Linked DNA regions of Coturnix japonica. The protein of the gene in region 1 purifies or fractionates together with the protein of each later gene. This does not show direct contact. Links are inferred from orthologs where the notes say so. Each region holds a gene or a part of one and is shown on either strand. Other genes may lie near its edges.

Evidence for each region.
Region 2: the proteins of TADA1 (region 1) and USP22 purify together in Homo sapiens (affinity purification with mass spectrometry; 4 studies listed by BioGRID and IntAct, with this or other methods). This does not show direct contact. The link is inferred for Coturnix japonica from reciprocal best matches to the Homo sapiens genes TADA1 and USP22.

What each region holds. Positions count from the first base shown.
Region 1 is NC_029523.1:4,195,051-4,199,369, forward strand, and holds the start of TADA1 (transcriptional adapter 1), read left to right. Parts: upstream 1-1,225; 5' UTR 1,226-1,262; coding exon 1,263-1,336; intron 1,337-1,426; coding exon 1,427-1,518; intron 1,519-2,305; coding exon 2,306-2,371; intron 2,372-4,319. Other genes in the region: PRDX6 (peroxiredoxin-6), read right to left, coding at 683-839, 1,014-1,105. UniProt on the Homo sapiens protein: Probably involved in transcriptional regulation.
Region 2 is NC_029529.1:4,653,817-4,657,625, forward strand, and holds part of USP22 (ubiquitin carboxyl-terminal hydrolase 22), read left to right. Parts: intron 1-3,393; coding exon 3,394-3,563; intron 3,564-3,809. UniProt on the Homo sapiens protein: Deubiquitinase that plays a role in several cellular processes including transcriptional regulation, cell cycle progression or innate immunity.

The DNA.
Region 1 (4,319 bases):
CATCAGCTATGCACCACTCAGGCACAAAGGTCGATTTAAGCAATAAGGCAATCAGGCAATTTCTAAAGCCATTCAGACATGAAGTAGTGTTTGAATGTGGAAATTTCTCACCTTTATTACTTCTTATTTGCATACGTCTGACTGCTGGAAAACATGACAGAACATTCCCACTTTTAAGAGTAAAGAAAGAAGCAGATAACTCACTCAGAGTCCTGTACTCTGGCCACTCAGTACTCATTTTATACCCCTAATATGTAGAGTCATGCTACCTGGCAGCACACCACTGTTGACACTGCCTTTGAAGTTTTCCATGAGCAGCTTTTCTGGTTCCTTAAACAAGCTATTTCTGTGCCACCTTTCTTCTATTTCCCTATGACCGTTTCATATTTAACACGCTCTTATTTGTACTTTTATATTCAACGTGTCACTGCTTGTTCTTTGTGTGCTTTCCCCTGCCTGGACACGAGTGATATGGTGGCCCTAACGATGTGGTTGGTGTCCCATCCCTGCAGGGTGAGGGAGAGGCTTTCAGTGTGAGGCTGGATGATGCCCTGGGCAACCTGGTTTAGTTGTGGTGTTCCCTGCAGGGGGGTTGGACTAGATGGCTTTTAGAGGTCCCTTCCAACTGTAAGGGTTCTGTGATTCCATGAGCACCCTGTTTGGCTTAGAATCACAATCCTACCTTGCTCCATGCCAGGTGGTCGGGCACGCTGTCAATGGAGAGCGCTATCATCTTCACATTGCGTTTGCTGAACTCAGATGCCAGCTTGGCCGCCCGGCCCAGCTCCGTGGTGCAGACGGGGGTGAAGTCCCGGGGGTGGGAGAAGAGGATGCCCCATCTGAAAGAGGATCGCAGGGTTATGGGTTCCGAAGCTCACTGTATCACTCCAGCCGAGAGCGGCCCGTTCTTCTCCCACCCCCCCCCCACCTTCCGTCCCCAGGCCGGGACACACAGGCTGAGCTCGCCCCGGTTCCCCCTCCGCCCCCCGCCGTTCCCCCGCCGTGCTGCTCACGAGTCTCCCAGGAAGTCGTGGAAGCGGATGCGGCCCTGCGTGGTGTCCGCCTCGAAGTTGGGCGCCTCGTCTCCCAGCAGCAGCCCCGGCATGGTGACAGCACCGCTCCGCTCACTGTCCGTTCGGATCTGTTCGGCTCCGTTCGGATCCGCTCGGCTCGGGGTAAGGGGGGGCGTGTCCTCCGCTGTCGTAACGTAGCGCCGCGCTTTACGGCGTTTCGCGACTTCCGCGCTCCCGTGCTCCGCGGCGATGGCGACCTACGTGAGCGAGCTGGAGGCGGCCAAGAAGAGCCTGAGCGAGGCGCTGGGAGAGAACGTGAAACAGTGAGCGCCGCACCCAGCATCGGCACACACCGCCGAGCCGTAACACCGCCATAACGCCGCCATAACGCCGCCATAACCTCTCTCCCGCAGGTACTGGGCCAACCTGAAGCTGTGGTTCAAGCAGAAGATCAGCAAGGAGGAGTTCGACCTGGAGGCGCGGCGGCTGCTCACGCAGGACAACGGTAACGGAGCGGCCGTGGGGGACGTTTGGTCCCATTTGGTCCCATTTGGTCCCATTTTGGTCCCATTTGGTCCCATTTTGGTCCCATTTGGTCCCATTTGGTCCCATTTGGTCCCGTTTGGTCCCGTTTGGTCCCGTTTGGTCCCATTCCCTGCACTGAGCAGGGACACCCCGGCTCCAGCAGTGCCTACAGCCCATCCATGGCCTTGGCTGCCTACAGTACATACTGATAGGCCGCTCTCAGGTGTCTCCAGAGCCTTGTCCTCTCCATATATCTCTCCTTATGATGGTTATTCCATCCCTTGGGTCGCTTTTCTGGCCCTCCCAACAGGTCCATATCTCTCTTGTACTCCATGGCTCTCTTGTACTGAGTATTCCGCTCTCAGTGCTGGCTCTCCTTGTGTCTTTATTTTAACTCTTTTATTCCTTTAAACCAAACCCTAAGCCCTGCTGCCAGAAGGTGTATGGGAGGGAGGGCAGCCAGGCCTCCTTGTTGCTGGCTAAGTGCAGCTGAGCTGCCATGCATTGTGCTCTAGGGCTGGGTTTGTGCATGGTGCACTGAGAAGCTGTCCAGCTTGCACCTGTATGCCTTCTAGCAGCAGGTTCTGGGTTAAGCAAAGAGAAAAACAAAACCAAAAAAGACCTCTTAAAAAACTTTATATTGGGAGTTGTGACTTTGTAGCTAAGTGAATGGTGAAAACATGGCTGTGAGGAGACACGGAGACCCACTTTGAGCCAGCGCCTGTGACCACCAGTGTGTTCCTAATGAGCTGTCTGTCTTCATGCAGTCCACTCACACAACGACTTTCTCCTGGCCATTCTTACCCGATGCCAGATCTTGGTTTCTGCACCAGGTGAGTCCCAGGTCTTGTTAAAATTAATCAGTAAAGCTTTGGCACATGTGTTTGGGCTTTGTATGTGGCTGTTCTGCTTGCGGAGCCTTAATATTCCTGTTCATTTTGCCACGCAGACAGAAAGGTAACCAGGTAGTTATCCAGGTGATTTCACTGTGACTGTATTTGATCTCTTAGAGGCTGATGTGCTGGGTTGCTGTTTGTGGTAAGTCAGTTTGATTTCCAGGCTGGGCGTCTGTTGGGCTGTGAGTGCTGGAAAGTAAAGTGAATGGGAGATGCTCTTTGTGTTTGATCTGCTCTGCTTGCTGTTTCCTTTGTGTTCTCAGCTGGGTGGTACCCTCTTTGTTCCCCTCTCTCTTGTGGATAATATCTTGAGGAGCTGGGTTTTCCTGACTGATCTTGAAATCAAGTATTCATCTGATAGAAAAGTGCTTACTGAATGCTTCCAGCTAACTTTTAATTGAGCTGTGGTCAATTAGTCCAACCTTCTGCCCCTTTGATATCAAACCTTTTTAGCTGTGTAAGCATTCTGAATGGCTCTTGTCAGGCTGGCAAGCTATTTTCTGCTTGATCTTCAAAATAACTGTCAATTTAGAGATCTGATATGAAGGACAGTTGGGTTGCAGTTTAAGGTATGAAACTGCTGTGTGGTGAAGGAGAGAAGATGGTTGCAGTTGTGGTGAGCTGAGGTCTGAGAGAGCTGTTTTCCCTCTGTGGAAAGTATCTGTAGTAGCTGGGTCTGAGCTTTTGAGGGGGAAGAACTGCTGGTTCTGTTCAGGGTCAGCAACGTTTTGGTTTTATGTAAGGGTGAAGTTTGCTCTGGCTGGCACTTGGTTGGATTTTTGGATTGCTGGGCTGGCGGGAGTGTGGGTCATAACCCAAGATCTTTGTTTTGGTGGCACTGCTGTGTGACTGAAGTTGGGGTTATTCATTCCTGTGTGCGCTGCTGTGCTTGTCTGTGTGGATTTCCACTTGTTCTTTACCCAGTCATGTAGCTGTGCAGAGTTTCTGCAGTCGTTTGGGCAGACTTCATCTCTACTGACTTGAATAGTTCAGACTTGGCAGTCTGGGAAAAGCCATAATGTTTTCTCAGAGCTGTCTAGGAATGGGTTAAGTGTCCCAGTGCTTTATCCTGGGCCTGGTGCTTCACAGGTGCCGTCCATGTGCCCATTATTTCCCACTTCAACCTCATAATCTCAAGTCCTTGCAAGGACTCTTGTTTCCATTGGAGCTGATGCTGTTTCAGAGCCCTTGAAGAGCCTGTTTCTGTGGATCAGTAAGGGTGTGTAACTGAGTGCTAGTTGACCACACTTAGCACATGGTGGCTGTGCTTCTAGGCAGGCTCATTCTGCAGAAGCCAGCTTGAAGAAGCTCAGTTTGATCACAGAGAACTGGCTCTGTGCTCTGCAGGTGATGCTGCGTGCTGGTGGTTTCTTGGAGTTTTGTGGGTTTTTGTTGTTTCCAACTGGGATCATTGCAGCCTGTTCCAGGTACCTGGAGATAACCCGCATGGAGCATCTTGCCCTCTGGCAGGGCTGTTGTTTGCCTGTCTGCTGCTTGTGGTGCAGCAGCTTGGATGTCCAGACACAGAGGTGTGGTACAAATGGAGCACTTGATGTCATGCCTAGATTCACTTTTCCCCTAGCTGCCAACCTGCCACCTGCTGGTTTTTGTCCCTACAAGAATGGGAAGCTAACAGGGTGCCTCCAGTGCTGCGCTTTGAGTAGAAGCTGCTCTCTGACTGATTTATGGAAACAAATACATGATGCAAGTGTGCTCGAGGCACTTGGTGTGCCATTGCAGATGCTGGTGCGTGTACTTCCACCTTCATGTAAGTGGGACGAGAAGGAAATGAACATTTTAAAACTGTTATTGTTTAAAAAATAACTTGTGGTAACTGGGGACCTGTAAGCACAGTGGGTGAATGTGACAACTGGGATCAATGCTT
Region 2 (3,809 bases), on another chromosome or scaffold:
ATTTCCACCTCCCCAGTGCCCCCTGCCCCCTATGACAAGTGGAATTTCCTTATTTTGTGTTGGTGTTTACATCTCACCTGCATGGGTGGACATGCAGAACTGCTGTTCTGGATATTCCTGCATACAACAGCGTGCTTGCCCAGCGTTGCAGATCAATTGCTTTGAGCATCTGAAAAACCAAAGCTACTGGAAGAAGATGGAAGAACTGAAGGTAACAAAGGTAAGCCTGCTGCTCAGAACACAGCTTTGAGAGTTGAGTGTGGAAGGAAACTATCTGTAAAGTTACAAAGAAAGTAGTGCTACTGTGCAAAACAGGATTACTGCAGGAACAGCCATCTGCATTTAGAGCTGAGGTGTCTCACTGGTTGCTTTTGCTTGTTCCAAAAACAGTTCACTAAAATCAGAGATAAAGTTACTACTAAAAAGCACAGAAGAAATATACCATTTATTACAGCCTTATAAGTATAATTAGATCTGCTGGGAATCATTGGCATCGGCCCACCCTCTAGACAAGGACTGTCAAGTGATTAGATACTGGTGGGGACTACTGGTGTTCATACTAGCAAAAGCAGACTGCTGCATTTAAGACTTTGATGCTTTATTTTTCTCTTAATTTATGACTGTTATGTTTCAGTGCTGTCTCCTCCAGTTAAGTGTTGCCAGACTTTATTAATGGCGAGGGTGTGGCAGACGCAACTCATTTACTTTCTGAATATCACATTGGGCAGAATGCTGTGTGGGCTTTGCTTTCTAGCTGCTTCTCTCCCATAAAACTCCTTTTCCATGAGAGTTCCATACAAGAGAATGTGTCTTTATAAGTTCAGTCAGCTCTTCAGTATGTGTGCATCAAAAGTTGATGTTTTTAGGATGCTCCAATTAGTTGTGCAGTAGCTTAGCTGTAGTTCAGTGCATTGTACCTGTTCTATTTCAGATGTCAGTCTAAGAGTCAGTTTAGCAGCTGCAGTCATTGCTCCCTCAAGGATAAGAGTCATAGATGCTCCTTTACCTTTTTCCCTTTCCAGTTAAGTAAGTTCTCATGTTTTACTATGTTCACCATTTCTTATTTTTATCAGGGTCTGAGGTATTCACGTTTCAGCCTTATCTGTTTTGCAGGTTGTTTTGTGTTGGTTCATTCAAGTGATGCCATAGCGTAAGAAGCACCTTTGTTTTTTTTTAACCCATGGAAGACCAACACTGAAGACCAATCAAGAGCAAAGCAGGAGAGCCTGTGGAGTTGTAACTGGTTGTCTGGAAGCTTTGAGGAAGATTGATTCTTCTTGGGGTCACAGGGAAACAAGGTCCAGCCTCAGGCATGTAATAAATGATGTTTAATAAATGATTCCAAAAAAAGCTGCCTTTATGTGTTTGCTTTTACTTCTGATTTTTCTACTAGATACCAAGGAAAAAAAAATATAGGGTGAGTCTCCAGATGGACCTGCTGGGTTTCCCAATTGTCTTCTGTGCTGCGCAGGCTGACTTTGAATGCTGCTGCTAACCAGGGGGCCAAGTCTTCCAGGGAGAAACAGGGAGAGAGTTTTCTGCTCAAAATACCCCAGTGCATCTCAACTATGCCCAGGGAGCCTCACAAGCATCTGTTGGCACAGATTGGTTTAAATAAAAACAGTAAGTTGTGAATAGATGATAAAGGAGAGAAGTAGGCAGGAGATACCAACTGAACGTTTCTCTACTTACACAGCGTGTTCATCTTTCTGCTTTATATCGTTTGCAGAGACGTGTAGACCGGAGATTGACATAGACTCCTATGTGTGCAGAGTTGCAGCATCACACCATATTTCAGGCTGCTGCACCAAATTAACTATTTAACACTTTGTTAATATTGTGCACACATTTGTTGCCTCCCAGCATGAGAATAAAGCAGATGATTGCACTGAGCTTTCTGCCCAATAGAAGTTACTGCAATATACATGAGGAACTTTGTCCTGCACTGTGAATAAACAGAAGCGCCAGGAAGCTGTTGGAAGGAGGGCTGTGTTTCATTAGATACAGAAAAGGAGATTTCAGAGGGCTCTGTACCCATCGCCTGCAGCTCAATGTGCAGCTCCAGCTGATGTAGTGCCGTTTCTCTCTGGTAACATAGCAACTGGACCACACCTCCTCCTGCTGAAAGATGCTGAAGAGCCCTTTCAGCACTGCCTGGTGTACTGCAAGGGAACTGTACCGTTTTTAATTAGCTCAGCATTGCCAGCTGATACTCCTTTATTTTTTTTCACCTGTAGAATGGCAAGGCAATTCTTTGTTCTCTATCACGTCATTTCTTTCAGTCATGGTTTACGTAGTAATTCTGTCTATATCGCAAAAGAGGACCGCGTTCATTTTAAATTGATAGCAAAATTGTATGTATGTCTGTGCTTTATTTTTCTTCTTATTTTGAAGTAAACTTTTGATTAAAAAATCAGTATTCTTGTCCACCTGATGACCTTGTTTAGCACTCCTGTATGGTGGCAGTCTGTTAATGTTTTGGAAGAGTACTCAAGGACTTGAGCATGTTTTTCTTCTCGCTTAGACTTTGCAAATGACTGAAAGCTTTCCCCACTCCTAACCTCTCTTCTGTTGTGCAACAAAAGAGCATTCCTTTAAGCACGTTGGTTTCCAAGCACAAGAAACCGTCTCTGGGCGTTACTGAACGTTTGACTTAAGGTGTGATGAATCCTCTTATGCCGAATTGACTTTTGTGATGTGTGTTGTAGATAAACGTTTGATGTAGTTAAAACAAGTGAGTGGAACTAGCACTGTTCAGAGTTGCTTTTTAAGGGTGTTTTGTTCAGTTCTCAGGCCTTGAATGGAAAGGAGGAAGCACAAAGTCTGTCCTGGATGTCACTGGCTTTTTGTTTGGCTTATACTGAGGCCGTTTCCTTTGCTGCCTGTCTTAGGAAGATAATTGTTGCATTTTATCAGTACAAAAACCTTACTTTGACTTTCTGACTTGCATGAGGGAAAGCCTTTTAAGTGGTCTGAGAACAAACTGATTTATTTTAATGTGTCATACTGTTGCAGTGTATCAGTTGTCATTGCCTTTGGGTACAAGCTTGAGGAGGGAACATGTTTTGGTGGCGGTTGGGAAAACAGCCTCTGCAAAATTAACGCTGTTGGTGTTGCTGTACTTTGAGTTTTATGTTCCTCTAAGAATTTAAAGCAAAAACAAACAAACAAAACCAAGCCATGGTGTAGTTGAGAAAGCTTGAGGCAGCTTGTGACTTGAGTACATCAAAACCAATAGCCTACCTAAACATAAAACTGTGTACTTGGAGCAACACGTACGTAGTAAATCTGTTGACACTACTGTGAAAATGGCATAAAAATGCAAATAATTTAAAAATACTATTTTTAAAATACAATAATGCTTACGGTTCCCTTCCCTTTCTGTCTTTATAGGTCTACGAGGGCTAATCAATCTTGGGAACACATGTTTTATGAACTGTATTGTCCAGGCACTTACCCACACTCCACTGCTGCGAGATTTCTTCCTCTCCGACAGGCACAAATGTGAAATGCAAAGCCCCAGCTCATGTCTGGTCTGTGAAATGTCTACGCTTTTTCAGGAGGTGAGTGCTGTTTGCTGCAATAGCATCACCTTTCCGCAGATGTTGGCTGTTTTGTATCCCAAAAGGGATTGTGTTCTATTTGCAAATGTAAAAGGAACGCAAATTCTGCTTCCCCTTGGGGTCACAAATGAGAGCGGTAGAGACTGAGATCCCACTGTCAGAAATACCTGACTGCTGAAAAGAAAACTCTTGGCCTTTAAAGACTTAAGCATAAGTCATTGCTGTGTAGGCAGTGCTGGTACTGAA